Arabidopsis thaliana: one gene and its partner. The protein of the gene in region 1 purifies or fractionates together with the protein of each later gene. This does not show direct contact. Each region holds a gene or a part of one and is shown in the gene's direction. Other genes may lie near its edges.

Evidence for each region.
Region 2: the proteins of RPN8A (region 1) and RPN1A purify together in Arabidopsis thaliana (affinity purification with mass spectrometry; 2 studies listed by BioGRID, with this or other methods). This does not show direct contact.

What each region holds. Positions count from the first base shown.
Region 1 is NC_003076.8:1,727,431-1,743,518, forward strand, and holds RPN8A (RP non-ATPase subunit 8A), read left to right. Parts: upstream 1-8,299; 5' UTR 8,300-8,431; coding exon 8,432-8,618; intron 8,619-9,016; coding exon 9,017-9,109; intron 9,110-9,192; coding exon 9,193-9,274; intron 9,275-9,458; coding exon 9,459-9,555; intron 9,556-9,648; coding exon 9,649-9,724; intron 9,725-9,855; coding exon 9,856-9,914; intron 9,915-10,082; coding exon 10,083-10,205; intron 10,206-10,369; coding exon 10,370-10,427; intron 10,428-10,513; coding exon 10,514-10,599; intron 10,600-10,680; coding exon 10,681-10,746; 3' UTR 10,747-11,310; downstream 11,311-16,088. Other genes in the region: AT5G05750 (DNAJ heat shock N-terminal domain-containing protein), read left to right, coding at 165-1,049; SYP31 (syntaxin of plants 31), read right to left, coding at 1,681-1,840, 1,926-2,123, 2,237-2,281, 2,360-2,505, 2,604-2,854, 3,263-3,473; WOX7 (WUSCHEL related homeobox 7), read left to right, coding at 7,057-7,425; AT5G05790 (Duplicated homeodomain-like superfamily protein), read right to left, coding at 13,294-13,711, 13,826-14,241; AT5G05800 (Myb/SANT-like DNA-binding domain protein), read right to left, coding at 15,804-16,088.
Region 2 is NC_003071.7:8,852,360-8,868,447, forward strand, and holds RPN1A (26S proteasome regulatory subunit S2 1A), read left to right. Parts: upstream 1-6,602; 5' UTR 6,603-6,851; coding exon 6,852-6,968; intron 6,969-7,288; coding exon 7,289-7,389; intron 7,390-7,528; coding exon 7,529-7,649; intron 7,650-7,727; coding exon 7,728-7,787; intron 7,788-7,886; coding exon 7,887-7,997; intron 7,998-8,200; coding exon 8,201-8,266; intron 8,267-8,348; coding exon 8,349-8,470; intron 8,471-8,613; coding exon 8,614-8,728; intron 8,729-8,882; coding exon 8,883-8,957; intron 8,958-9,386; coding exon 9,387-9,545; intron 9,546-9,641; coding exon 9,642-9,749; intron 9,750-9,820; coding exon 9,821-9,922; intron 9,923-10,015; coding exon 10,016-10,156; intron 10,157-10,244; coding exon 10,245-10,349; intron 10,350-10,431; coding exon 10,432-10,653; intron 10,654-10,745; coding exon 10,746-10,859; intron 10,860-10,938; coding exon 10,939-11,154; intron 11,155-11,254; coding exon 11,255-11,314; intron 11,315-11,403; coding exon 11,404-11,517; intron 11,518-11,609; and 9 more. Other genes in the region: GPRI1 (GBF's pro-rich region-interacting factor 1), read left to right, coding at 3,127-3,591, 3,659-3,706, 3,938-4,078, 4,157-4,501, 4,644-4,685, 4,784-4,897, 5,008-5,163; NFD6 (nuclear fusion defective 6), read left to right, coding at 12,863-13,023, 13,299-13,449; AT2G20590 (Reticulon family protein), read right to left, coding at 14,884-15,095, 15,179-15,301, 15,433-15,498, 15,586-15,655, 15,742-15,883, 15,970-16,044. UniProt on the Arabidopsis thaliana protein: Acts as a regulatory subunit of the 26 proteasome which is involved in the ATP-dependent degradation of ubiquitinated proteins. Required during embryogenesis. Required for optimal plant growth and stress responses. Required for innate immunity.

The sequences.
Region 1 (16,088 bases):
AAGCTGTGTGCGGATTGTGGAAGAGGAGGCGATATTTTTCAATCGTCGCTCGTTTGGGAAAGTCCTCACATCTTAGATGAACTCCAATCGCTTCGAGAAACTCTAATTCCTCGGGAGTTTCCGATAGCATCATCGGGAAATTGTTTTTCCGTTGAACAATCACAATGGATGGTAACAAAGATGACGCGTTGAAATGCCTAAAAATCGGCAAGGATGCTATAGAAGCAGGAGATAGATCTCGCGCTTTGAAATTTCTTGAGAAAGCTCGTCGTCTTGATCCAAATCTTCCGATCGATGGTCTTGTTTCGGATCTGAAGAAGCAATCGGATGAACCAGCGGCGGAGGAGGATTCGCCGGGATCTGCTGCCAACGAGTCATCTAAGCCGTCGGATCGACCTTCTCTTCGTCAACGTGGATCTTCGTCATCAGCCGCGGGATCGTCATCATCTTCGTCTTCCACGGAAGAACAACGAACGATCGTGAGGGAGATAAAATCGAAGAAGGATTACTATGAGATCCTTGGATTGAAAAGTAACTGTTCAGTGGAAGATTTGAGGAAATCTTATCGGAAACTCTCGTTGAAAGTTCATCCTGATAAGAACAAAGCTCCTGGTTCTGAAGAAGCTTTTAAATCCGTCTCTAAAGCTTTTCAATGCCTAAGCAACGAAGACACTAGAAGAAAGTACGACGGCAGTGGTTCCGATGAGCCTGCTTATCAACCACGCCGAGATGCGAGAAGAAACAACGGATTCAATGGATTCTACGACGATGAATTTGATGCTGATGAGATTTTCAGAAGCTTCTTTGGTGGTGGTGAAATGAATCCTGCTACTACTCAGTTCCGATCATTCAATTTTGGTGGAGGAACTAGAACAGCTAATCAAGCTTCTGATACAGGATTCAATCCTCGTGTACTTCTTCAAATACTTCCTGTTGTGTTCATACTACTACTCAACTTTTTGCCTTCTCCTCAACCAATTTACTCGCTTTCTCATCGTATAACTACGAGCTCAAATTCACCACGCATAGGGGCGTCACTTACTTTGTGAGATCAGCCAAGTTCGAGCAGGAATATCCGATAAGTAGCTTCGAGAGACAGAGGGTTGAAGAGCAAGTTGATAGAGATTACTTGTCTATACTTGGCCAGAATTGTCGCCATGAGCTTCAGAGACAACAATGGGGATATATCCGCGAAACGCCACGTTGCGACATGATGAAGAGGTTTGATGCAGCTGCTGCATAAACCATCCAGGTCAGAGAGAGACTGAAGCACCAAGTTAGTAAACTCAAATCCAAGAAACTTGGTTGGATTGTTCTGAGACATAGCTATGGTACTTACTAACTTCTGAGCATTTTTGTTGATGCTTCAGTAGTTTGATTTCTAAGTCCCAAACTCATATACGTTGATTACTGTCCTCCTTATGATGTTTAGTATGAAACATATTATGTGTGATTATATCTTAATTAGAATAATAATTACTTTGTTTGCTTTGAATTTTTACTTGAGTTAAATGCTATTACATCAGAAGTTTCCTGGTAAAATACAACTGAGTCTTGCAGAAAAATTAAACTTTTTGACACTCCACTATCCACACAAAAAAAAGGAGCCCTAGAAGCTTACAAGCTTAACATATGTATAGATTTGATACCCCCAGGAACAAGAGATAAAATGGTATTGTTTTAAGCCACAAAGAAGAGGAAAACAATCAGGAACAAGATGATAACAGCAAAGATCTTCATCATGAGCCATCTATTTGACGAAATTCGAGTGAGATGCTGCAGAAGAGCGCTACGTGCTCCCTCTACATTAACTAACGATTCATCCATATTGTCATCGATTCTGTTCCATAAAACTAACAGGTGTTAGATGATGTTCCCAGCAACTCGGAAAATGTCGGGTTGTGGGTAAGAAAACGTTAACGAACCTGATTGCTAGCTCTCCTTGTTGTGTGACCATTGTAGCTAGCTGCGGGAATATTCCACTGAGCTCTGTTATTCTTGATTCAACACTGTGAAGTGCAACCGCTCGACTTTGGCTATAGTTCTCCTGCTTTGGGACTGTTTGCTGCAACAAGGACATCTCCATTTGCTGTGAAGGAGCATTCTCGATCGCGGATCTGCGTCTGTTTTAGCATGACATAAACAAAACATCATGTTTTATACATCATTTTGACCTTCAAGCATAACGGTGAACAAACACAATCAAGAGTTGTAAGTAATGGGAATTAGGACATACCTGAGCTGGCTACCTGGCGGAGCTCCAGTATTTAATGGAGGTAATCTGATCGGTTACAGGAGACAAAACCTAATTAGATAAGAACAACTATTACATAGGAAGTAGTTCTTAAACAAAACTCACAGTGGTTGTTGTAAATTCCCGAAAGGATTTGATGAACTTGACCAAGGAGGAGGCTCAGGTACAGATTTTGCATTATTCTGAGGCGGACTATCTACTGCATTTTTTGTGGAAAAGAGTTGTTTCCGGTTTTCATGAGCCTTCATGTTCTGCAGGAAGACAAGACATATCTCAATAAAACACTGTCCATTGTAGGATAATAGGCAGATACAAATCAATAAAAGGTTGACAAATCTGCAAATCCAACCTCTGATCTCGTAGTTAGAACATCTTGAAGCTGCTTAGTAGCTCCCATAAGTCTGGTTTTCAAGTCATCACAAACAGCAGTGTAATGACCAACTTGGTCCTGTGAATAGTTCCCATCAGCAAGCTCCATGTTCTGAAGGGTTTGCAAATCCGAGAGAGCCATATTCAGCCCCGTGATATCGTTCCTGATCAACACAGTTAACTCCTGTATTTCCACAGTCCGGTCATTGAAAATCGTCGATTGTTTTGCCACTGTGATTCATCAAAAGTTTCAGGTAAACAAAAACTAAGGCTGCTCTCAATTGTAATCACAACAATGTCACTAGAATCGTTTAAAGATCATATGCAATACATCTAAACACAGACAAATAACTTCCGCAGCAAGCAACATGGAATTTTCTATTTTCTTCTAAGCACCATTTCTTGTTGCAAGCTAAATGCATAAAAGCAGGGTTTACGTTACACCTTTCCTACAAGACAGCTATAGGAATCTATGTATTAACCTCGTTAGAATCCAAAAAAAAAAAAAAAAAAAGCCTAATTTCATTATCCGGATCAAATACCCTAACATTTCTCATGTTTATTCAAATCCAGACGAAATTGATTCCAGCAGAAATTAAATATGAAGATGACGAGCATAGATCTGATACTGGATCGTACATTTAGCGAGCCTCGTGATCTTCTGTGACGTTTCTTTAATACCTAACCCGATCCGGGAAGCCTTCTTATTGAATTCGGATCCCGGAGACGACCGTTTGGATGATGCCGGATCATCTTCATCTTGATGAACGGACGGGATTGCCCCGATCTTCTTCAATGTTTGGGACAGTGAATGAAGCTCCACCGTCCGATCTCTGAACGTCGAGCCCATCGGAGGGTCGGAATTGAACTAAAGTCACCGGCAAATTGATGAATTTCCTCAGATGATGAGCTTTATTTCGAGAGTAACGAGAGATGTATCAATCGGAGAAAGAGACTGAGAAACATATAGGGAGCATATTCGATTTACGTCAAAATAACAAATTTTATGTTATTCAATTATAAATTTTTAAAAGTTTAATAAAATCTAATGTTATTGAACAAGTGATTCTAAAATCTACTTAAAAATCCCATGTTATTAAAAACATTTGAGACTTAAGTTAATTTGAATGGATTTACTTACTTCAAAATACAGAATTTTAAATCTCATAATTTTAGGTTATAACAACTTCTTGAATTTGAGAAGATTTTACAATAAATCATAATAAATTCTTAAATTCACTCAATTTTTTCAAAATCATATAAAAACTCAAAATAAATCAAATCACTCGAAATATAACATTGAATACATCTCCACAGTAGTAAGAAATTGATAGAAGTGCGTGTCATTATTATGTTATAACATCGAACGTCTTGTTGTTTTTATTCTTGTTGGACCGTGTCCCGTTTTAACATTTGGCAACCAAAAGGTGTGCGTTTAGGCATTAATTAATCTAACTTTGGGCCCAAAACCCAATATTATTTCCGTCTTTTTTAGTTTAGAAAAGTCTTTGTTTTTTTTGTTGCTGATTTCCTAATATCAAATTTGTTTCGTATATAAGATAAATGGAATGAGACCGAAGTTTTGGAATGAGTCACATGATCCGAGCCAGACCAACAAAGGAAGCATATGAGAAGCATGAGAAAAAAATCACTTAAGTATCTTAATTTTGTTCATGTTTGTTGTGAAGGGCTTACTAAGATATTAATAAAGAGAAAAGATAAAGTGTGAGATTAGAAAGTTGTATATAAGAAGTGAATGGAAATTAAAGGTTTGGGGTAATGTTGGATGGATCAGCGACAAACGTGGAAGCGAGGAGATCCAAAAAGGAAGCTTCCCAAGCTTCGCGAGGCGTAGGAGTCTACATTTTAAGCATGCCACAATTTCATGCCCTTGTTTCCCAATTTTGCGATTTTTTCATGTTTTTTTTCTTTTACGTACAAATAACATTTATTCAAAGTTCAGATGTTATGATTTATGCTTTATGCTTCCATACTTAAAGATTTTTAGTTATGATTTATGCTTCCATGCTTTTACTTTTTTTGCCATGGAACCATTTCTGTAAGTATATAATCATCGATTATAAACCTAAATTGTTTTCATTTTTATGAAATATTTACATTCTTAGCAAAAAAAAATAGTTCAGATGTTATTAAGTGAGTGTTTACTGTTTATCAACGAATTAATTAGTGTGATAAAAATTTGCAATATAAATGTATTGATTCTCTCAATTTACCAATCGTTTTATCTTGAATGCATTTAGAGATGGGAGTTCCTGTTTTTTTTTTTGCAATTGGAATCATAAAACGAGAACTTACGCAATCTGAACAAGGTCATTTAGGATAGACATTTTAAATTATACAAAATGACAGTAATTTGATTTTTGACAACGCATGATGTTAACTTAATTTTCTTATAAGATTTTTTTTTTTTTTTTTTTTTAAAAACTTTTGATGATCACATACACGACATTGACCTAGGAGTTAGAGCAAGAAAATTAAAAAACCCTTTGCCAAGAACTAGTAACCAAAACTTATGTCGCATGAAGCTTCATTTCTTATACGTTATATACAGTATAACATTAATAGAAAAACTAGAAATATTTCTTTAATGGTGCATGTAACATCATTGGGAATTGCATGTGAGTGGGATTTACAAATTTACAATGTGAGACCACCTTCCACTCAATATATATATGTTCCAAAGTGAAATTTTCGTTTTAATATAACATACTTGAATATAGAACCAAATAATATGTATCATGTGTGACGGGTTCAACGTTTTCAAATGTCCTAAAAGAAACAAAGAAACAAAGTTTTTGATTTATTATTTTAAAATCACAAAACCATATAAAGTTTAAAAATCTTGTTAAACTTCATAAAATCCGTCTTTAAAATTTTTAATATAAAAGTTTGATTCATATTATTGTTCTTTCTTAAACCAACATTTCGTTGATGAAAGATGGTCAAATGAATTTTTTGTTGTCAAGCTAGAGAACACCTAAATTTTTTCCAATTGATATTATGTATGTTAACACAAAAAGAGTTATCTAATACGATTAGTTAATTTATGGATGATTCCAAGTAGAAACGCCAACATAAACTTTGACTTTGAGGCCGAATTGATCTGCTTCTTTTATTTCTCTTACAAATTTGAAATTAAATTAGTCAAGTGTGATGATAAAATACATAACGTTTGTACGCATTAGTATGTTGTGTAGCGGAGAGACTCTTGTTTATAAAAACAATGTTTGGTTTATTCTAATTGTCATTTTATTCTTTGGATCTTTAGTTCTCGCTTAGCGTCTCGTGCATATTTTTCCTCAAAATCATCACCATTAAATGACTCACGTACACAATAATCACAACAACATACATATATATCACCATGCCAAAATACATCTGAAAAAAATAAATTCCTAGTCGCTACACTGTCATATTTTGATTGATATTTAGACTATTTAGTCATTCAGATAACATTGTTACGAGGAAGTATATATACATACGTAGCGTTGTACTACTGTAACTGGTTTTAAATTTATAGTATTAATTTTGTTGATGTTCCGATTGAAAAAGTCATTTTAGGAAAGAACGAAAAAATAGTTTGAAAGTGATTTTTTTTTAAAAAGATATAATCCTACACTGTCATGTTTTGATTGATATTTAGTCATTTTGTGTGTTAATTAACACTTTATTATAGACAGGGTTAGTTATTAATTTAAATCTAAATGTTCTTGTAAAGGCTTCCACTTAATTTTCTAATCACCATCTGCCGACCAAACTACTTTATCAAGTCACAGCTTTTGTGGAAAAATTTCCGTTAATTCATGAGCTTTTCTATTTGTTCACACTTCACACAATCATTAAATTAAATTTTGCGGCTAATGTTAGAATTATCGTACGACAACTGATCACACGCTACATGTTCTCTAGCTTAAATTTGCAACATATATAATTGAAACATCACTCAACCCCACAGGCTACAACATCCCACATTTAATCAAGAAATCAATCAGTTCACAATTACTGATGAAATTACGCAGCAAGTAACCCTAGCTAACTAGGATAAAAGAAAACGATCAATTCTCGGGAAAATTCAGTCTCTCCCGAATCCCAAAAACAAAAGCATGCATTTCGTAATAAACAACGCACTGATTCTGTTTGATTTTTTCTACCTTTATCCTACACAACACTAGTTAAACGACACAAAACTCAAAACACGAACACAGTTACTTAATCTATTCCCCTTATTCTTTCTTTTTGATTATAATAGCATATCGGAAAAAAATCTACAAACATTCAAAAAAACATCATCTACTCATCTATATATTCAAACCTTGGTCCATTCACATCACGAAGTCCATCGCCTATAATCATATAACATATCCAAAACCCTAAAACGCAAACACTAAGATAACTATTTCTTGAAATTAATAATGTCGTCGAGAGGATTCAACATTAAAGCTAGAGGATTATGTAATAACAACAACGGAGGAGGAGGAACGGGGGCGAAGTGTGGACGGTGGAATCCAACGGTGGAGCAAGTGAAGCTTCTGACAGATCTGTTCAAGGCGGGACTGCGAACACCGAGCACGGACCAGATTCAGAAGATCTCTATGGAGCTGAGTTTCTACGGTAAGATTGAGAGCAAGAACGTGTTCTATTGGTTCCAAAACCATAAAGCTAGAGAGAGACAAAAGTGCCGGAAAATCTCCACCGTCAAGTTTGATCATCGTCAAGATACAGATCTTTCTAAGCCTCGCCGAGACAACGTACGTCGTCATCAACTACCAGCGAAAGGTTAATCAAGATCTCTTTCTAGATTGTTTTATAATCACATTTTACAGTATATATTATCAGTTTATCACTAAGACGCTAATAATGTGTCTTGGTTTCTTATAAATATTTTTGAAGTTTGTAAAGTAGAAGAGAAAATGATAGAGACGTTGCAACTCTTCCCATTATCGAAAGTTGAGAGAGTGAGAGCAAACGTTACTGCTGCGAGCCACAACGAATACACACGAGAGCAAGCATATACGACGGCGTTTTCTACATTCTCAACATGTGGGGCTGAGATGGAACATTCGCCGTTGGATCTCCGATTAAGCTTTCTATGAACGGATTTGATATTAACGTACAACTCTAGTGGTGACGTTGCTAAGAAATAAAGACATGATGATCACATTTATTTAGATCTAGCTAGATTTTGACAAATTTCCCTTGTAACAATATCAACCTAATAATATCGTTGCTACATTTTTTTTCATTAGCTTCTTCTCTTCACTTATTGCCTGTTCTGTTCTGTGGCCTACCCGTGAAATGAGTACTTACGATTTAGGGTTATAACATTACCATAGTGGAAGGGATGATATTTCTTTTTGTATCACATTTATGATTTACACTTTTGAAAGTCTCCACAACTTAATTTGTCATTATTTTATTTTATTTTCTCCTCTACAATTCATATTTTCAGCACTCGTTTGAAAAATTACTTCAAAATATTTGATAAAATAAGAAATAAAATCCTATTTAATTATCCACCGTCTTAATAAATTTTCGAGAAATGTATATTGGAAAATTGCCCAATAAATGACGTGATCAGGCCCATCATATTGGGCTTAACAAAAGAAAAGCCCATTATAGGGAAATAAAATAAAACGACCATATTAGAAGCAATTTAGTGCAAAGTGGTTTTTCCTGGAGAAGAAGCAAACTCTCAAGCTCCGTCGGGAAAAAAAGGAAAACCAGATCGGAAAGTTCACGTTTTTCAAATCTTCTCCGGAGAAATCAGATTACTTGATTCTTCAAACAATGGATGTGATTAAGACGCAACAGATTTCAGCAAGGACGATCGAGAAAGTGGTTGTTCATCCACTAGTCTTGCTTAGTATCGTCGACCATTACAATCGCGTCGCTAAGGATTCAAGCAAGCGTGTCGTCGGTGTTCTTCTGGGGAGCAGCTCTCGTGGTGTTGTTGATGTCACCAACAGCTATGCAGGTATGCCTTATTTATCCTTTTTCCTCTAGTACTCTTGGATCCCAGATCTCAGATTCTGTTGAGGTCTCTAAACTGAAACTTGAATTGAGTGGTTATTCATACCTGGGTTCTAGGCAGATGTGTATAATAACACCATTTAGGTTTTTTTTGTGGCTGTTCTGTTCCGGAATTGACCTCTTCTAGAGTTGATGTTTACTTCAGTTAAATCACGTTCTCGCTAGGGTTTAAGATTCAATCGAGCCCCCGTCGAGAAAGAGATTGTTTTAGGTTGATTTAGTTGCATTTAAGTTTGCAGAGGTGCTTGCTTATCTATGGACACTGTCACTAGAAACCTCTTTAATAGATGGATGTTGTTTACATATGAATTCGTGTTAACATGTTGACATCTTGAATTGTAGTGCCCTTTGAGGAGGATGACAAAGACCCAAGCATCTGGTTTCTTGATCACAACTACCATGAGTCAATGTTCCACATGTTCAAGAGAATTAATGGTATTTTCTCAGGAAACTGATGCTTATACTGTTTATGACATTGTAGAAATCCATGCTTTTAACACTACCTACTTGCTTTTCAGCCAAGGAGCATGTTGTAGGTTGGTACAGCACAGGCCCTAAACTTCGAGAGAATGATTTGGATGTTCACGCGTTGTTCAATGGGTTAGTTTCCAGTTTAATCATTCAGATATCAATTGATTGGCCTTTATGGATTGAGGATCTTCTGGTTCTTAAATTGTGATAAAGATTTGTTTTAGGCTGAAATCTGTGTTTCTTTCCCACTTTACGTTTTTTGTGGCTTCGGTTTCATCTCCAATTAAGGTTCACTTTGCTTTTGGTTTTGCAGCTATGTTCCAAATCCAGTCCTGGTCATTATTGATGTCCAGCCTAAAGAACTTGGAATCCCTACCAAAGCATACTATGCAGTGGAGGAGGTTAAGGAGGTAAGATACAAACCCTTCCAAATATTGTCCCTTTTGTAAAGTTGTATGCTTATTATAATCAGATGCTGATTAAACACTTCTTTTTCTCTCCAGAATGCTACTCAGAAAAGCCAGAAAGTTTTCGTTCATGTGTCTACAGAAATTGCTGCTCATGAAGTTGAGGAAATCGGTATGTCCAAAAGGGAAAACAGTTCTTTTGATGATTTCATCATCTCGGTTGAGTTTTAAAGAAATGTGTTTTGTGATTGTTCTGAGGAAGATTTTCTGACACTTACCTGCGTCATTCTTGTTCTTGTACAGGCGTGGAGCATTTGCTCAGGGATGTGAAAGACACAACAATCAGTACCCTCGCGACTGAGGTTCTTGTCTTTACAATACATGAAATTTTCATTATCTTCCCATTAAATGTCTGTTGAAATCATGATGGGGGACTTGTAGGATTTGTATTGATGTTCTTGCAAGGTTACTTATGGACATAATAGTTTTCTGCTCGAGGACATAAATAACTTTATAGTATTTTGCACCAGGTCACTGCAAAACTTACTGCTTTGAAGGGGTTGGATGCACGTCTTCGGGAGATCCGGAGTTATCTTGACCTTGTAATCGAAGGAAAGCTCCCTCTAAACCATGAGATTTTATACCATCTACAGGTTAGAACTATATTTCCGTTTCGTGTTCTGAATTTTACAAATTATGGAGAAACTATTTGACAATGTCCAAACCTATGTGTTTTGCGCTCTTTAAAATATTCTAGTCACTGTCTCTGCTGTTGGTTGATTTCGTCTAATGAAATATATTCTCGTAAAATCGACAGGACGTTTTCAACTTGCTTCCTAACCTGAATGTGAACGAGTTGGTCAAGGCCTTCTCCGGTGAGTTTCTGCTATCATTTTGATATTATATTGGGCTGCTTTCTTAGATCTGCTTCATTAATCTTTACTGTATTTATAATGTGCAGTGAAAACAAATGACATGATGCTCGTTATCTATCTATCATCCCTCATTCGGAGTGTAATTGCGCTCCACAACTTGATCAACAACAAGGTTAGATCTTTACTTTACTCTCTCTCACGGCACACAATAATGTGATTCTGAACTAAATCTTGTGATGATGCTGTGTTTCAGTTACTGAACAAGGAACATGAAAAAGCAGAGGACTCAAAGCCTGTGGCCATACCTGCCACCAGCTAGATCAGGTTTTCTCGTGACTTACTGTAGTCATCATTGCCCGCGATGAAGGCAGCTATTGTGTGTTCTCTTCCCCAAAACAAAGGGTCAAGTCAGGGTGGGGGAACGAACGAGTTTAGTTTGATATCGACATTGTTGAATTCTCTCAGTTGTTCTGATTCAGAATGTATCAAAGAGTCTTTTTTCATTTTATCTTTCAAGTTCGTTAGGCTTAGGCCTCTTTTGAGGGGGTTTTGAATACAAAAGTTCACGTCAATGTGTCGAAATCTCCACAGAGATGGTCTTATCCTATTGAAATTAAGATTTTTTTTTTCACATTTCCCCCCCCCCCCCCCCCCCCCTTCTGTTATACTCTCACATCGTGACCGAGTATACAGCCCCGGTTGAATGTTGTTCGTTTTCCAAAGTCAACATGTTCTTCATGTTTGTCCTTAGTATGAAATTTCTGATTAGAGCCATTGACCACAACAAGGGTGTTACTTATGAATTTGTTTACTAGCAGAACTGAATAATTTGCATATTACCTAGATGTAAAAAGGAAGACTATACATTTTGATGAGCTTTTCTTTAAATTGAAAAGAAACAACAAGAAGAAAAAGTAAAGTGAAAAAGGATTATGGAGGAAAATAAAGTTAATAAATGGCGTAATGTTCGTGAAAAGGATATTTGATGCCAAAAGACAGAAACGAAAACAAGAACGTGCTTTGATACGCATTATGCTTCTTCTTTTTCTAAGTCTACTTCTTTTGAACACCTTCTTTTTCTATTGTGTATTATGTTAATCCTTGTTAAGGATACTCATTTTGCAAATCAATATATTACTGTCCTGTTTTACTTAGATATCTATAAGAAAAAAGTTTCAAAAATCGAAACCGTTATAATTTTGTGTAAACAAAATAAAAATCAAAATAACGTAGCTCACTACGAAAAGTAACAATGTAGTTGTATACTATACAGACGTGACGTAAGCATTCAAGAAGACGACTTTCATATTAGTATGTTAGTTAGTGGTTAGGTCGCATATCCCATTGAGGTGACCAAATCCATAGTGACGAAGTAACCAAAGTGATTAATTTATATAAAGAACGTTCTGAGTGTTACTAAATAGACATATATAGAAAGGTGTCAATACAAAAATTCTCAGTTTTATGATCCAAACATATTATAAGTTATACGGCTATTATTGATTGACCTTTCATTGGGTTCCATTCAAACGCCTCATCAAAAGTGGAGCCACGAAAAAAAAATAACAAATTGAATTGTGTGATGCCACTTTCGTTAAAAATATATATGGTTCATCATCTTCATCGATGAATGTCATAGGTGGTGTTAGAATTATATCGACTCCAACCGACCTACATTATTAAGTAGTATCTTAGGGTTTTATTCCCGCATGCAAAAAATAAATAAGGTTCGGATGCTCTTAAAGTGACTATATATAGTATATACTATTCACTATTACTGATCAAATCAAATTAATATATGGAGATAGAGTAATCATATTACGTAGTTAGTAGTTACTTACTGTTCGTGATTAAAAAGTGAGCTTTTCTTTTATATTCTCAAATTTTTTAATTAGAAAACTAAAAGCTTTCAAATTTATAACAAAGCGATTCAATATAACTTCTCTTTATTTGCACAAAAATAAGTATCTTTAACGATTCGTTCATCCAATGAAATTTCCTAAATCACTTTTGTTTATGTTTTTTAATAAATTCCAACTTGACTTCTTTCACAAAAAGAAGGGAAAAAACAAAGCATTATATATTCCTTCTGATATGAAAGAAAACATATATCACATTTTCTAGCTCTTTATTAAATTAACTAAAAGAAATACGGAAAAAAAAAAACATTCTTAAAATAATTTTAAAACAGGAGCTTGTATATATGTTCCACTTGTACTAAACTGCTATTTTTGTTTGTAAAGAGTAATAATATATCCAAGGACACCCTTAATTTATTTATAAACTTAACAAAATTGAGGGAGCAAAGGGTTGGTGTAATAGGTGAAAAGAATGTGATTCTGTGTGCCGAAAGTGGAATGCAGACTCAGCTTCTAATTATATACCGTTTACAAGTTAGTGGTCAGCTTTGCCACCCATACACACACATACAAATATATCCAACCCTCACTTTTTAATTCCTTTTTCTTACATAAAATTCTATACATTCTTTTTGCTAAAGACAATTTCTTACCTTAGAAAACAGTATTTGTGTATAGTTCTGTGATGAATCATTTTAAGAAAATATAAAACGTAAATGAGTAATGTTATACTAATTTATCTACTATCATCGATCAAATGTTCAGGTTTAGAGACAATTTTCCAAGAAAATGACTGACCGTTAAAGTTGCAAGTAAAGCCATAAACCCGGTACTTGGTCCTTTTCACCATTATTGATAGTTTTGGCAAAGAGACATATATACTAGCTAATATATGTTTATTCCATAAATACAAGACATACATATTCACATTCCTCTAATAATGTAACATAACTTTTTAAATAAAACATAATTATGGTTTCGTTGCAATAGTTAAAATTTCAAAATTCTCATTTTCTCGTTTCAAGATCTTGTGAGATACAGTAACCTCCTTCACCGTAAACATTTGCTCCGGAAAACTTAATGGCAGGATCGTAGGAAGAGAAGACCGAGGATAGATTCTGACCAAGAAACATAACTCCCTCCTCTGCATTATCCCTGTCGGTGAACCCTAGTTTCGGCTCGGCCTGTTTTGAGACTAAGCAACCGTGATCAGACGATGGACGGCTAAGATTGGCATTGAGAAGATTGACGGTGGTGATGTCGTGAATGCTAGGCCGTCGTTTGTCTTTCGCACCGGAAAGCTGTCTTTGGTAGTACTTTTGGGCATGACTTGCAACCTGAGTTGGTGTTTTTGATCCCACAAAGTTCCTCGATATGTTTCTCCAATCTCCTTTCCCATACTTGAGAAGCCCTAACAAGAATCTCCTGCAGAAAACAATTAAACAAGGTCTCAGCAAACCAAGAAAACAAAGTAACTTGCAACTCAAGACACCAAAGAAGAGTGAAACAAGGATCACAAAGATTGAAAACTTTGTTCACCTGTGTTCTTCCTCCGTCCATGGAACTCCTTTCCTACGGTCTTGATCAAATCCTCTGGCTCCATTAGGAAGTTTACGATACGCATCAAAGTCACGTGGACTCACAACCTGATCAAATCCACAAGGAGTAACTGAACGGTAACCCGGGATCGGGACAAGTCCTGCTTCGATATCGAAGAGGTCTTCTTCAAGCTTAGAGTATTGCCTCATGACATCTGATATGGTCTTTCCAGGGATCATAGCAGCAACTTTGAACCAGCGATCAGGCGTGTCATCAGCGTAGACAGCAAGAGCTCGCTCAAACTTCTTGTTCTCTTCTTTAGTCCAGCTCGAGCTTTGCAAGCACATCATCTCTTGAACTACAAACCGGTGGTCAGAAGTTGGCACGTGCGAGAGTAGTGGATGCAGAGTCTCCATCGTTTAAAGGCTACGAGATAAAAGTTCTACCTATAAAATAAAGTACTTAATATTTTTCCTCTAATTCTTGGAAGCTTGATTTGTGGGTTTAGTAAAAGACTGAAGCTTCTTATAGGATCTAAAGATATATAGGAATCAAACTGGGAAAACTAACGAATAGTTTAATGATGGAATCAAAGAACCTGATTTAGTGAGAGATTATAGCGTATATTAATTGAAGAATCTGGAAAGAAACACAAAAGACTAAGACTTTGAAGAATCCTTGAGAATCTGCAAAAGTGGGTCGTCAAAGTAATACAAAACAGGCAAAACTCAGATGGTAGAGAGAGATAATCAGTAAGATAGATAGGGAGAGATTGTGAAGCAAAGGGAGAGAAGAAGAAGGTATTTGTGGTTTGTGTTATAAAGAGAAAGAGAGAGTGTAAAAGTTTTAGCCAATGGAACCACTCCACTCCCCTACTTGGCTTCATTTTATTCCAAAGAGGATTCTTCACAATGACACGAATTCTAAAAATAACAATAAACTTCAATTATAAAATTCTAACTAGCTACTAGCTAGGCCAACATTTCATATCTTTCCAAAATTTTAATAACCACTAGTATACACCGTTTTTTTTTGTTAGGTAGTTTTTCTCTAATATTATTCAAAATAAAAGCGACAACACATAAAGTTGTTCATACTTAATGATAGTTTACGTGTTATACGTCGGCTATGTCTAAGGCTTAACTAATCATAAAACACACATAAAATAAGGAGAAAAACTTCAAATTTACTAAAAAAAACCAAAAACAATGCGATTGCTTTACTTAACAAAAACAATGCGATTGCTACAAATTGTTTATAGATGTAACTTAATTAATGTTATTCGAGATAACACGTAAGCTTAAACTTAACGACACTTTATTCTTTATGTCTTTTTTTGTATTTCGTACCACTTGAAAATGATACTTCTACGAAATTTCATAAGCCGCCACAAAAACAAGATTGAAAAAGAAAGAATAAATATAATAAATGCAGAAGCGCCTGTAGCTCAGTGGATAGAGCGTCTGTTTCCTAAGCAGAAGGTCGTAGGTTCGACCCCTACCTGGCGCGTTAATTTTAGTTTCTTACTTTTTAGAAAATTACTCCTTAACCTTAAAGGGGTAATTAATTATTGGGATGCGACTAAACCTTTTTTTGCCCACTTTGGGTACTGTTTTTTGTCGTCACTCGCTTTATCTACTTTTTAATTCAAAAAAGATTCTAATCATCAACTCTCACTCAAAAGCCCCTTTCACACACTCCATTGTTGTCGGTGTCCCAAACCTTGTTCTGCTCTCTCGTAATATGCATAGAACTAAATGCTAAATATCTTCTCCTAATGAATGAAAGTGAGAACAATTCTAACACAAACCACTTAAGAATTAGGCAATTCAAAGGTTCATCAACATGATTCTCTACCTGTCTGTTTTTATATAATCCATATTCATAGAACTAACAAAGAACGATTCTTTTGGGTATAACATCAGACAGAGACAGAGGTCAGAGTACAAAAAGGATGGCTTGTAAAATACACTTGAACCTATGTTGTAGTAGGAATAGGAAATGAAGTAGATTGAAGTCTCTGCAACCATGCGATTCTCAAACTGGGCTTCTTCAGCTCTAAGAAGATCTCTCTATACTCTCTCTTCAGAAACAGGTCCAACGCAAACATGTAGAGCTCACTACCTTGTTCGACCTCTTCAATTGCGTTGAGGCTTTTAATGCATTCTCCAATGCTGTACATCGGCTTTGCCGATTCAATCTCAACGAATACCGGACTTTCCTGCAACATAACGTCATTCATTAACTTCATATCATCCAATGG
Region 2 (16,088 bases), on another chromosome or scaffold:
ATAACGAAAATAAACTCCACCAGTTGAATCAAAATATTGGTTTAATTGTTTGTGATAACAGTGACAATTTTTTTCATGAAATTTTACAAAGCAAGAATTATTGAAGTTTACTCACGCGGTTGCGTTTGTGGTCTCTTGCCAGTTGCCACCGCAACAAAGCATTGGTCTTCTTCGTTTTTTTCTTTACGTTTTTGTAATTGTGTTTGTGCTTTAACTTTATGTTATAACATAAACATGCAAACGTAAACACACACACACACACAAAAACGGTTATGGTGAAGCTCCAACACCAGCTCCAAAGTTAATGACTGCGTAATGGAATGTTTTGTTAGAACTAATTGGAAATCGATTGCTTTTCGTGTCTTTGTAATTGAAATCTATTACCATTATTTTTGTAACAAATAAAAGTTTTGGCCTTTTAATTTGGGGATACTGAATTTTATAGCCTATTTTCACAAGAATTTGATTTGTTGTTTCTATTGGCGATTTTCGAAATTAGTAGACCGTTTTCCCTAGCTATTTCCAAGTTAACAGGAGAATCGTTCCAAGTACATATATACATATGATATGCTATTTACAGCGAAAAAGATGATGAGTGTTGGAATCATAATTAATGACCAGTAGTCCTTTTACGAAAGTTGCACTTCATTTTTAATTACAAACACACATGATATCATTTCCATTCTAGTCGCTATCAAGTCACATGTGGGTGTGGTGGCCCTTCACGTCCACTGATTGTCAAACCTCTAATATCAGTTTCAAAATTAATGTACATATATAGCTTTTCATCTCCATCTCTATATAGAGATTCAATACTCAATTCAATATAACATTTGTATATTACTCGAGCTCATAGATTTATTTTATTGACCTATATATTAAACTTATTGGCTAGCTAGCTTTTTCTGTTATTTTTGAAATTTAAACTTAGCTAGTTTTTAATATTCCAATAGTAGAAGAAAACTATGAAAACTCACTGTAACTCCATGCTGGGAGAAGGGATCCAACATCTCACCAACCAGAGTGTCGGGCCGTAGACTGAACTAGCTGACTGTGAGATCTTAGATCATTCCAAAATCAACAACTCCAATAATTATTTATTTTCGGTTTCTAAATGAAACAATCTTTATCCTTTTCTTTATCTTAAACCAAATCAGTTATATAGAAGATTAAGTCATTATTAAAAAGTATCATCAGATCATCTCATAAATGGTAGCAACAAAACCACTCAAATATTCAACTATAAATTACTCCATCATTTATAGAAAGGAGCCTACGCATATATCTAGCAAATATTTGGAACTCTAGTACTTGACTTTGAGAAAACCCTCATTCAATATATATAGAGTTGTGTTAGCCTATAAGGGCCTGAAAGTATGTGGAATTTCTTACAATTTTCTTCCTTCACGATGTATATATATATATGCCGTACGAATATTGTGAACGTGAATTCGATTCAAAAAATGTGATGTGGAAACGAGCAACAACAATTATTGTAGCTCTTGAGGACCCATAGGACGTGCATGTCCACTTATACCTAATGAGACAATTCTGTCCTTTTTTATAAGAGCATCTTCCACAGCTTAATTTGCGAGCCTCATTCACGTCAATATATAAGGGGTATGTGATACGGTAGATGGATTGATTATTTACATCCATCTACATGTAAGTTGACCAGCATAGACCTTTTACATAGTGACATAGAACCGTTGAAATGCCATCCGATTGATCAATAATGTTGGGACAGACCAAAACCAAGATACCAAAACGGTAAAGGGACAAATGCGACAATCAGATATTGAACTTTAAAGTTGTGGCTCTGATCCAGTTTGGCAACAACTTCACTTAAATTTTTGTGTTACCAACAAAACAGGGAAAAAGATTCGCTAAAAGAGTTGCCTAAATATATGTTTGAGCTTGTTGTCGATATTTTATGTTTATCTAAACAGTAAAAAAAAAAAAATTTATGTTTTATTTACCACATTTAGAACTAGGCATATATATATATATATATCTTATTATATAAAGTATGGTTTTTAAAGTTGCTAACTCATAAGATTGTGTCACGTGTCAAGTCAAACGATCAGATGTTTACATGTATCATTCAAAATTTAACTTTTTTATTCTCTAAAATTAAATAGAAAATCTTAAAAAGTAAACAAATTTACATATACTAATTTATATGTCTATATATTTATAAACAATTAACATTTATTCAACAAAAGGAAAATTAACAAATTTGTCTTTAACTCATGTAATCATAAGTGAAAATAGAACATTTTGAGAAAAATAGCTTATCTTATAGGATTTAACTTTTCAATTATTTTCATTTATTAATTTTAACTCATTTAATATTAATTTGCATGATGTAAAATTAACTTACGAGATTACGGCATATATAGAAAATATATTTTCAACAATGTTTGGTTTCTAAATATTTTGTGGATTTCTTTTTTTTATTAATTATTAGCCCTAGGCGTTTGGGTATTCGGGTCGGGTATTTTGGGTTCGGGTTTTCGGGTTTAGAAGTTTAGGACCCGTTCGGGTAATTTAAGATTTCGGGTCGGGTTCGGTTTGGGTGGGTTTGAGTTTATTTATATATTGAAATATCAAATTTTGTGTGCAAATCTATTAAATTACTTGAAAATTTCAAAAATTCCCAAAACAACACGAGTAGTTTTGCTTGAATATATCTAAAAATACACAAAATAATTAAAATATCCAAAAAATCCTAATATTTTCTATATATAAGTATAAATATAACTAATATATATTTATATTTGAAATATGTTTGGATACGTATTCGGGTTCAGGTTCGAGTTTTTTGGGTTTTGAAGTTTAGATCTGTTCGAGTATTTGAAAATTTCGGGTACACCCGCCTCAATAGGCGGGCCTTATCTAGTATATATATATATATATATTTTTGTGATGGATTTCTTTCTGTCTCTCTCTATATATAGCATATAAATGAAAATGAATTATATTTGCCTTTAAGGGAGAAGAAAGAGACTTACTTTGGATATCAAAACATGTCTTGCTCTCTATTCTAATTAAGTCTAGCCTATCTACAACATACATAAACCTCTATCTACGATTATATTTGGATCTACAAGTGAAGATTGATCGATGTTAGCTCTGTCTCCGGCGACAAGAGATGGTTGCGACGGAGCGTCAGAGTTTCTTGATACGTCGTGTGGATTCACGATTATAAACCCGGAGGAGGAGGAGGAGTTTCCGGATTTCGCTGACCACGGTGATCTTCTTGACATCATTGACTTCGACGATATATTCGGTGTGGCCGGAGATGTGCTTCCTGACTTGGAGATCGACCCTGAGATCTTATCCGGGGATTTCTCCAATCACATGAACGCTTCTTCAACGATTACTACGACGTCGGATAAGACTGATAGTCAAGGGGAGACTACTAAGGGTAGTTCGGGGAAAGGTGAAGAAGTCGTAAGCAAAAGAGACGATGTTGCGGCGGAGACGGTGACTTATGACGGTGACAGTGACCGGAAAAGGAAGTATTCCTCTTCAGCTTCTTCCAAGAACAATCGGATCAGTAACAACGAAGGGAAGAGAAAGGTGAAGGTAATGATTTTAATCATATCATCTATATATAAAACATTAGTCTTATATGAATAAAAACCCTAGCTAGACTCGATTAAATGAACAGGTCTATAATGGATTCGTATTTTTTTTAAAAGTGGATTATTCGTTTAGAATTCATTTTCTTGCTAAATCTTCTAAATTTTTCATATTTCAGTCATGTTTACAAGACTCGTGTAAAGACATCACGTGCATCTCTATAAGACTTTTTTTCTTTCAAATTATGTAAAATAGTCAGCTGCTAATTGTGAATTTTATATAGTATGTGAAAAAGTATTGAAAAAATAATGAAGATGGTGGTTATATATATGTTGGGATGTGTGTGAAGGTGGATTGGACACCAGAGCTACACAGGAGATTCGTGGAGGCAGTGGAACAGTTAGGAGTGGACAAAGCTGTTCCTTCTCGAATTCTGGAGCTTATGGGAGTCCATTGTCTCACTCGTCACAACGTTGCTAGTCACCTCCAAGTTAGTATATTTCTTTTCAATTTCATTCTCTAATATTAACCATCCAAATTAACATGTTGCTGTTATTTGGTATACTAGAAATATAGGTCTCATCGGAAACATTTGCTAGCTCGTGAGGCCGAAGCGGCTAATTGGACACGCAAAAGGCATATCTATGGAGTAGACACCGGTGCTAATCTTAATGGTCGGACTAAAAATGGATGGCTTGCACCGGCACCCACTCTCGGGTTTCCACCACCACCACCCGTGGCTGTTGCACCGCCACCTGTCCACCACCATCATTTTAGGCCCCTGCATGTGTGGGGACATCCCACGGTTGATCAGTCCATTATGCCGCATGTGTGGCCCAAACACTTACCTCCGCCTTCTACCGCCATGCCTAATCCGCCGTTTTGGGTCTCCGATTCTCCCTATTGGCATCCAGTAAGTTCCCACATTTATGAAACCTTTACTTTAGCTCTTTATCATATTTGTTTTCATCATAGTATTTAACATTATGAAAGCTGAATGACACCGAGTATTTTTATCATATGCTTGTCTTTCTAACCAGCATTTTTGCATGTAGATGCATAACGGGACGACTCCGTATTTACCGACCGTAGCTACGGTAATGAACCAACATTTATAAGATTGTTTCCGTATGTATACCCCTTTTTGTTTCTATATATATGTTTTAAATCGTATTTTTGATTGGTAATTGTATAGAGATTTAGAGCACCGCCAGTTGCCGGAATCCCGCATGCTCTGCCGCCGCATCACACGATGTACAAACCAAATCTTGGATTTGGTGGTGCTCGTCCTCCGGTAGACTTACATCCGGTAAGAATCTAATATAATGAATTGATTGTTGTCGAGTTTTGACTTTTCGCATTTGATTATGTAATTATGTATTTTTGACTTTTTGTGTATATATATTATAAATGGAACAGTCAAAAGAGAGCGTGGATGCAGCCATAGGAGATGTATTGACGAGGCCATGGCTGCCACTTCCGTTGGGATTAAATCCGCCGGCTGTTGACGGTGTTATGACAGAGCTTCACCGTCACGGTGTCTCTGAGGTTCCTCCGACCGCGTCTTGTGCCTGAAACGCACAAGATCCGTAGGCAAGCGAGAACCAAACAAAAATTCGACGACATGTCTTTCAATTATTGTACTTTTATTTTTCCAAGGGTTGTTTTTGTTTTGACCCTTGTTGTGTTAAGAGTTACTCTTTACTTAATCGTCCCATGTGACTAATAAGGAGACCCTTTTCATATGTATCTAGGGTGCTAAGTACACTCTAGCTCTATTAACGCAAATAAATTACCTATATTTTCTCTAACCATTGGTGATTTAGAACTTGATTGCTTATATAAAGTTTTTTTATAAAACATAACACAACAAATTTCCATATCAAATGATCATATGGAAATTGGAAGCGTTCAAAGCAAAGTCGCAAACGACGACCAATTGATTATAAAGAGGACAACCTCACGAGTATATATACACTTATAATTTATAAACATAACTTATACTTAAAAATACCAGCCGGTTATATATGGTGAAAAATGAGTAATGAAATTGTGTGTTTACCATGCATATATTACCGTATAAAAACGTATTGTTGGGATTGAGAGAACAATGGCATAAAATAATAATGAGGAGAGAGGGAGAGGACCACGAGATAAGAGGAGAAGGAAGTGCATGGAGGCAACGTAAAATCCAACGTAACGACCTCTTCTTTCTCCAATTGTGACCACTCTCTCTCTCTCTCTCTCGTCTCCTTCAAATTTGAATGGTCCCTCTCTCTTCATAATTGATAATTCATATACATGCGGATACTATTACTAGCATCTCATTTTCCACTCACACTTGTACACATATGCTTTTTATAAGTACGTATTTATAGGCAAAAGTAAATATATTCAAACCCTACATGCATGGTATTAAAATCCAATATAACCAAAATGAATACTCGGTTCAAATTCAAAAATTTAAAGGACTTTGGTCGAAGATAATGAAGACAAATCATTTTTTTTTGTTCTAACCGGACATTCCAAATCGAAATGCACACTAGTTTTTGGTGCCTACATCTACATTGGCTAACTTTTACTAAAATCATAGTGAAAATAACAAAAAACCATGGTCTCTATAAACTCTTTGGTGAAGATTTCAACTACTAAATTACCATGAGATAGATGGTCAAAAATTGTCAATATTGAATTTACAAGGATCATGAGATATTTCAACAATTTTACTAATGACCAGATCCAATGCAGTGAATTAGACGAAACTATGACTTCACTAGGTTGTGAAAGAAAAGCTTGTCTTGCAGTTTTGTCTGCGACCGGTCGAAAAGAGAATGAAAATATGTCGAAATCCTCTTCAAACGTGAAATAAATTAACTGTCATAAGGATAAATTATGTTTGTTCAACCATACAGAAATATGATGAATAAATAATTTTAGACATGTGGGCCCATGTAAGAAGAACTCACTAAATGAGCCCAATACGGTTAATGGGCTGTGACATTGAAAAAGAGGTTGTAATGGGCTGATTGATTCTATAGTGTAGAAATCTTGATCGAGGGGTTATCTTCTCCGATTCCAATATTTAGATTCTTCTTCATATATTATTGTGCTTTGATTAGAGAGTTGCAGAAGAGTTTTTTTTGTTTTAATTCCTGCAATCAGAGAGTTTTCGATAGCACAAGCACAAGCTTCTCGATTCGTTTGAGTGTTCAAATTTCAAGCTTTTTACAAGGGGTTCCTTAGATTGATCTGTTACTGTAGAGATGGCTCCAACTCAGGATCCCAACAGTGTCGGAGGCGGTGCGAAGAAAGATGAAGCTACCTTGAAGGTTCCGTCTAAGGATCCCAAGAAGAAGGACGAGAAAAAGGATGAGGATTTGGTAAAGTTTCTTCTTTCTCGGTTTTTTGATTTATCGAATCCTTTTTCGACATTGTGTGTCGTGTTTAGTATCTGGGTTCATCAGAAACGAATTAATTTCAAATCTGTAAGATCTGCAGTTAGGTTTTTAATTGGAGTCTCGATCGAGTTGAAGTAGGGGTGTTATAGAATTAGGGTTTTTAATCTGGCAAAGTGAGTGTTTTGTTCGTCATTAGACTAGCCGGATTAGAAAGTTGTTAACTTGTGATGTGAGGAAAGTTTTTTTTGTTTGTATATGGTCACTTTCTTAATGACTCGACTTACATTGGGTTGTGATTGTAGTCTGAAGAGGACTTGGAACTAAAGCAGAACCTTGAGCTCTATGTTGAGAGGGTTCAGGATCCTAATCCGGAATTGCAGAAGGCTGCCCTTGAGAGCATGAGGTAATTCTTGACTTGATCAGCTTCGGGTTTTCAGATTATTGCCACTGAAGCTTGTACAACTTATAAAGCTTTTTTTCTTTCTCTCTGCTCTTGGTGTACATGTTTATGTTTTTAATTAGAGTTTTATTTGGCTTTGTAGGCAGGAAATCCGAGCTTCAACAAGTTCCATGACTTCAGTTCCCAAACCACTAAAGTTTCTGCGTCCCCATTATGGAACTCTTAAAGCGTTTCATGAAACAATGGCTGATTCTGATCTCAAAGTATGTCATCATTGATTTCAAGTCATTAACAATTCTTATATTGGTATGGCTTAAAAATTACATTTGCTATGTTTGCAGAAGTACCTGTCCGATATCCTGTCTGTCCTGGCCCTTACCATGTCTGCAGATGGTGAAAGGGTATGCTTCTACTGACTTGGGCATACTTTGTATTCTGATTTGTATTTTTTAAGGCATACTTTGAACTGCTAATCACTTTCTTTTACAATATAATTCCAGGAAAGCTTAAGGTTTAGATTGATTGGAACAGAGGGTGACATTGGATCGTGGGGTCATGAATATGTCAGGAATTTAGCTGGAGAGATTGCACAAGAGTATACAAAGCGTCAGGTTAGAAATCAATTTTCGATTTTGTCTTTGGAAATTCAGTTTCTCGTCCTAGGACTTGTGCAGATATTCTAAGATTGTTGGAAGTTGTGTTTGGGTTTATCCTTCTGAATTCTGATGGTTGGAGTTTTGAGGAATGACTAAATGTGTCTTATTCAATGAGAAAGGTCACTGAGTCATATTTATCTACCTGTTCATTATCTCAGAGTGAGGAGGCCTCTATTGACGATTTAATGGAGCTTGTGCAACAAATTGTTGCTTTTCACATGAAGGTGAATTCCTAAACTAATAGGGCTTGAGATTAGCACCTCTGCGATTTATTTATTTCTAAACGATTTCATTTACTCCTTGCAGCATAATGCAGAAACCGAAGCTGTTGATCTTTTAATGGATGTTGAGGATCTTGATCTCTTACTTGAGCATGTAGACAAAACAAATTTCAAGAGGACATGCAACTATCTCACAAGTGCAGCTAGGTACTTTAAACATAGTCAATCCTATTTATTTTATTTTTCCTCACTCTTTGTTATTTGAACTGATCTTGTAGAAACAAGTGGTGAGCTTTGTTTATATTTGCTTCCAAAAATCTCTCTGACGTCTTATATATTTGAATTTTCAGGTACCTTCCTGGACCAGATGACATGTTGGTTCTAGATATTTCCTACATGATTTACATGAAGTTTGAAGAGTATCCAAACGCTCTGCAGATTGCACTATTTCTTGATAACACGCAGGTAGGACTTTAATCTTTCTATAGAACGTAGTTTCATTTCATTCTTTCTGCGTGTGAAGCATTTGGAAAAATCAATCCTCTATGTTTTATTTCGAGTATTTGCGTAGACATTTTTGATATTTAATGTGCTGTATGGTGTATTTTCTGTATTGCAGTATGTTAAACAAGTATTTACCTCATGTACGGATCTGCTGAAGAAGAAACAGTTCTGCTACATGATTGCTCGTCATGTAAGTCCTAACTATCTCTACTTTACTACAATTCTATCTCATTCTTTCTTTTCGGTATGTATGTTTTGATTTGGATCTTTACTCCTATATGCTTTGATAGTTGGTTGTGCTTTTATTCGATTGTATTTTACTTTCCAGCTGTTACATAAAGTTAGCAGAAAAAAAATGAGAACATAGTTTGTAGTTGTAATTCAGCATGATCTAGAGGGAATTTAAATATGTTTCTTGAACATTATTTTTAGTCCAATTTTGTATTGTTTTTCTGGGAAGACCTCATTCTTTAGCGACACTGGCCTCCTCCTATTCTCTTCTAAGGCACACACAGATTAACTGCTGCATCGCTGTTTAAAATTTCCATTCATTTAGAGACACAATACCCGATTGACATACTTTCTTATACTTCTCCTCTCGTCGTATGCCTCCCTGCAGGGTATAACCTTTGAACTTGACGATGAGATGGTTGCAGATGATGATGACCGGGAAGCCCTACAGGATATTGTTAACAACACTAAGTTAAGTGAAGGATATCTGACCCTTGCAAGGGATATTGAGGTCATGGAGGCCAAAACGCCTGAAGACATCTACAAGGTAAATCAGTTTTAATGTGTTAGGCTTGCTACTCATTTATTTAGTTACAAATTATGTTTCCCTCAGTCTTTGACCTGCCCTTTTTGAATTTTATAGGCTCACTTACTCGACGGCAGGGCTAGCTCCGGTGCAAGCGTGGATTCTGCTAGACAGAATTTGGCTGCTACCTTTGTCAATGCATTCGTAAATGCTGGTTTTGGTCAGGTATGGTTGCAGATTATAATAAAATAGATCTAGTGGAAGACGTGTCCTCTTAATATATTTGCTTATCGCAGGACAAACTAATGACAGTACCTTCAGACTCAACCACCGGATCTTCTGGAAACTGGCTCTTCAAAAATAAAGAACATGGCAAGACTAGTGCAGCTGCTAGTCTGGTATACTTTTTCTTATTTGATGAATTTATTTACTGTGCTCAGATCATGGAAGTAAGAATTGTAACCAGATCTTTTTGTTTCCCTATCATATAGGGTATGATTCAACTGTGGGATGTGGACTCTGGACTTTCCCAACTCGACAAATATTTCCATAGTAATGATAATCCTATCATTGCTGGAGCACTGCTGGGAGTTGGGATTGTAAATTGTGGCATTAAGAACGATTGTGATCCTGTGAGTTGCTGTCGTGTTTGATTTTGCTGGGACCATTTGTGCTAATATTTGCAGCCACTCTTCCATCTTACTCAGCCTTATTTCTCAGGCATTGGCACTTCTTGGAGACTATATAGACAAAGAGGATTCATCTGTCAGAATCGGTGCTATCATGGGTCTTGGAATTTCATACGCAGGTTCCCAAAATGACCAGGTACTTGTTATATTCTTTCCCATATTACTACTTGAATGTTTCGGGTGTTCACAAAACTTTAACACGTACACTGTTTCAACAGATTCGAAACAAATTGTCCCCGATACTGAATGATGCAAAAGCGCCTCTTGATGTGATTGCATTTGCTTCACTTTCTTTGGGAATGATATATGTTGGTTCCTGTAACGAAGAAGTAGCCCAGTCTATTATATTTGCTTTGATGGATCGAAGTGAGGCAGAACTGGGTGATGCCCTCACTCGTTTCTTGCCACTTGGTCTTGGACTTCTATACCTGGGCAAACAGGTTAGCAATGTGTTTTACATAATCTCGCTCTTTGTTCGTATATCATTATTTGCATTGCTTGACCAACATCAACTTGTTCCAATATCTACCAGGAAAGTGTAGAGGCTACAGCTGAAGTTTCGAAGACCTTCAATGAGAAGATTAGAAAGTATTGTGATATGACACTTCTTTCTTGTGCTTATGCTGGAACTGGAAATGTCCTAAAGGTATCTAATCAATTGTGCTGGTGGTTGAGTGACATAATTCATTACTTGTTTAGTTGTTGACTCCTACTTATATTTTCAGGTACAAGACCTTCTTGCTCAGTGTGGCGAGCATCTTGAGAAAGGTGACATCCACCAGGGTCCAGCTGTGCTTGGGTTAGCAATGGTTGCTATGTCTGAAGAACTGGGAGTTGATATGGAGATCCGTTCTCTGGAGCGGATGCTACAATACGGAGAACAAAACATTCGGCGTGCTGTGCCTTTGGCCCTTGGTCTCCTTTGTATATCCAATCCAAAGGTAAATACTTTTGTAAATGTAGTTTTACTGCACCTGCTTACAATTATTAGTGGGCGTCTAGAGTAATACTGGGTTTTTAATATTTTTCCCACAATTCCAGGTGACTGTAATGGACACCTTGAGCCGGCTTAGCCATGACACAGATTCGGAAGTTGCCATGGTTAGCAATCATTTCGCTTCATAGCCTGTCCCATATTATTTAGCTGAATAGTATTGAGAGAGGACTGATCTTTCTTTTGACTCGTACAGTCAGCAATTATATCATTGGGACTGATTGGCGCTGGAACTAATAACGCAAGGATAGCCGGGATGCTTCGGAACCTCTCCAGCTATTATTACAAAGACATGAGTCTTCTCTTCTGTGTAATGTGTTCCTCATTTTGGTTTCTGTACCCTGCGGTAAGCTGTTGTTCTTGTTGGAATTATTGTAACTAACTTGGTAAGTCATTATGCAGGTGCGTATTGCTCAAGGGCTTGTGCACATGGGAAAGGGTCTCTTGACACTCAGCCCCTTCCACTCTGAACGGTTCTTGCTATCGCCGTAAGTTCATTCTTTTTGTCACCAATAGAACCAAATCTTTTTTGATAGTTGGATGTTCAAAGGTTTCTCATGCGGACCTTATTTATGCAGAACCGCACTTGCTGGTATAGTGACACTTTTGCATGCATGCCTTGACATGAAACCAATCATACTCGGGAAGTACCATTATGTGCTGTACTTCCTCGTTTTGGCGATGCAAGTGAGTTCAACTTCTGTCCTGTGTTTCTCCCTCTTGTTAGTTAGGTCTGATGAACTTGCTATGATTTGATATTTAATCAAATTTTGTTAAAAAAATGTATAGCCAAGGATGATGTTGACAGTGGATGAAAACCTGAAGCCACTGTCAGTGCCAGTGCGGGTAGGACAAGCAGTTGATGTGGTTGGGCAAGCGGGTCGGCCCAAGACCATAACCGGTTTCCAGACACACTCCACACCTGTTCTCCTGGCTGCTGGAGAGAGAGCCGAACTAGCCACGGACAAGTATGTTATTCTTTTTCCTTTCTTCCTTGTACCCTTTATGTTGCCTACTTAGGTGTCTGATTATAAAACTCGGATTTGTAACTGGCAAACAGATACATTCCTCTGTCGCCAATACTAGAAGGATTCATCATCTTAAAGGAGAACCCAGACTACAGAGAGGAGTGAAGAGAGAGAGCTTCTGCTTCCAGCCAGTTGTCACTAGTTTTACTATTTCGTCTATTATCTCATGGTTTTTCTACTCTCCGTTTAAGCTTTGTTTCATTATCTTGGGATCTTTGTATGACCTGACGCTTTTAGTTATATAAACTTTAGTCTCTTTTTTTTTTTTTTTTTTTTAATCGCCACCAAGTCGACACATATTCTTGCCAAAACCAATATTGACTCAGTTTAAAAAATAACGATCCATAAAATTTTCCAATTACTTTGATCACATAAAAAAAGTGAAGAAATGTTAGCCACTTGCATAGTGCCGTTCAAAGACGCACAAATGAAATTGGGCTTTCCTTTGGCCCAAAAGTGTTGCGATCGCGTTTATAACAAAAGACTAAGGTTTCGTCCAAACTAAGATCGCGTTTATAGGGTTTATCATCATTTCCCGTAATCGTAATCGGAGTTCAGGCTTCAGCATTCTCTCTTCTTCTCTCTCGCAGCCGTAGTTTTTGATCTTCTCTTCAATTCTCTCTCCTGATGGCCACGTCCGCCGTCCTCTCCGGTGCCAGATCGATGCTTCGAGCTGCTTCCTCACGCAGCGCCGCTGCTTCTACTGGCCGCTTCGCCTCTCAAGCGAAATCCGCTCCACCATTGTTTAGAGCCACTGCCAGAAGAAGCCCACTGCTTTCTCCTCTCCGGTTAGTCTCTCTCATACCCATTTCCTTATTTGAGCTCATTTCACAGTTTTGTGCTACTTGAAGCTTGAAATGGGTTAAATTCGATCGAATTGTGAAAAAAAAGAAGGAACTTCTCTATGTAAAAATTACATTTTTGCGTTAATCATGTTTCCAGATCGATTATTCACAAGTAAAAAAGATGAAATTTTGCATTTTGATGTTGATTTTAAATGTGAAACTCTCTTATCACATTACTTAAAAGAATTTGCATTTTTGTTTGTTTTTGATGTGAATAGAAATCCTGTGGAACTGAGCTTCTGTGTGGAGTCATTGTTACCATATCACTCGGCTACAGCTTCAGCGCTAATGACTTCAAAGCTTTCTATCTCTGGCCAAACCTATGGCTGGCTCTCTGACGGTACTTTCTCACATCCTTCAATTTTGTAATGCTTGAATAATGGCTTAAATATGTACTAAATATTGAGTGGAGATATGCTTTGTTTGATTGATGAAATGTGTTTGAGAGCTGTTTCTGTATTGGCTTTCTAGATTGTTGTATTAGACATAGGTAGAGAACTAGTTTAGATTTTGCCATTTAAGAAGCTTTCTCGATCAGTGTAGATTCTTTTTGGTTGTTGCTATGGCGAAAAACTGGATCAGTTGTTGTTGTCTTTCTGCTTAACGTTGTAAAGAGATAGCGGCTCAATTGGTCTAGTTTTTCGATCTTGTAGGCTGACACAAGTGTAGATGGAGACAACGAAGCCAAGATCTGGGTTTTCATGCAAATAATATAAACGATTAGAACGGGTTTCAGGCAATAAGATAGGCTTTAGATACACATCAAGCAATGGTTGATGCTGCATTGTGTTTTAAAAGAACTGGTTCTTACATATCTTCTTAAAAAAAATACATGTACCCGGAAACGTGTCTTCTTTTCTTGTTGGTTATAGCATTTGAGTTATTACTGATTGGTCTTATACTCCCAGCTTGCAATGATGATGTGTGATGAGTTAGCCAGAGGAACAATGAAGCTACAGTTTATGTACAAAACCTCTACCTTTTAAAGCCTTCTTCTTTAGAAAAACTTAGGAACGAAAACCCTCTTAATTTTGTTTCTGAGTTTCTTGGAGAGCTTTTCTTTGTTTTCAGCCTATTAAGTAAGACATGTTGTATTGGTTGGACGAGTAACTGATGTTTGGTATAATTTATCAGCTTGCAAAGAGGACTTTTGATGATGTCTACGCGTACCCAATGCGAGATTGTTGATTGCGAGAGAAGGTTTAAGAGTATTTAGGCAAAGAATAATTGTTGTACTGTTCAAACACAAATCATCTCTTTGTCTTTAGTTTTCATATCAAAGACAAATGTCCAATATCTTTTGAATCAAATCTCTATGATTTCTATTACATCAACATACAAACTCAACAAAATTGCATCACTTCTACTAATTTAAAACTTGGAAACATCCATGAGTTTGAATACTATAAATTATAATCAAGATTCTACCAAATATATATATATATATATATATATATATATATATATATATATATATATATATATATATATATATATATATAATCAAGAATCTCATCAAAATAAGTAGGGAAAAAGTAGCAGATTTGGCAATCAAATTGGCACATTAACTTGTCGACCCTTAAACTTGAAAGAAGGTTTCAAGTTTCTTCTTCTTGTCCCTTGGATCTTATGAAACATTGTATTCTCTGCCAAAGATTCACGACTTGAATGGGCAGCTTTGTTAAAGGATCTCTTTGTCATTAATTTTTCATATTAAAAAAACAGATCCTTTCGAGATATAGAATTACATCTCTGTTGAATGTGGATTGATACAAAGTACAAACACTACAGTTTCTTTGATCCTTAAGTTTCTGCAACCACCACCACTAAAGCTCGCTCTTCTGATGGCTGTGTCTGTTCTTCTTCTTGTGGAACTGTTTCTTCTTCTTGTGGAACTGTTTCTTCTTCCTGCGGGAGTGTTTCTTCTTCTTGCTCATTCTCAACAGGCTCAACTTCCTCGGGAGTTAGCTGTAGATTTTGTCTCCTATACCGAAATATCACCAGGATGATAAAAACTGCAGAACATGAAAGACGTATACGTTATATTTTGATACAAGGCAAACCAAATACTCTGTCAACCATTGGTTAGGTAAATTACCTGCAAATATTCGGGTTCTTATGCTCGTCAAGTTCCAAAACGCTGTCACCGCAGAGCCAGCCAAGATCTTCTTGTGTGAGCAGACTCCCCATGCTTCACCTATTCTCGTTTTCACTCTTTCAACTGCACAAATGAAACTCAAACCAGTTCAAGAATTTAAACCATTGGACCAGTTAAAGACATCTACAAACACTTGACTATTGATTCTAACACAATTGACAATATGTGAATGGGTGCAATTCATTATTCTTCACCTTTTTGGCTAATCTGATGCGTGTAACATGAATACAGCTTTGGGATGGTGAAACTGAGGAAGAAACCTGTTTCAGTAACCATACACACATATCATCATCACAATTCCTATCATGCTTAACAATGTTTCAGCTTATGTTCCAAATGTTAATTACCAAATGCAGATAGCCTCCACAGTGTTATGAGATGACCATACTCAGCTCCAAGTAGCAGAAATGGTGTCACCTGTGACAAAAAGAAAATCAGCAGATGAAAGGGCAAGTAAACCACCAACACATAGCAATCACCAAAACTGATTTGATTTTGTTTACTTTGAGTGTCATTGATGGTTCTCCTGAAAAAAGCTCACTAGTCTTCGAGATAAAAAAGTTGGTTGCAGGAAGCACTCGTCTAGCTGAGCGCAAGACATCATCTTCACTCACATGGAACGCTCTCTTTGTGTCTTCATTTTTCCTAAAAGTAACAACACATTGAAGGATCACACTAACTATTAGCTTATGGAGAATGCCAAACAAAAGAGACCACAGAAGTAAATGTACCTTTGACAAAGAGTGTTTGACAAGAAGGACCCGCAAAGTAACACAAGTCCGAGATTGGAAACCGCCGAGAAAACGCTTCAAAACAAAGAAAAAGGTCATGACTTTCACAAATCTAATTG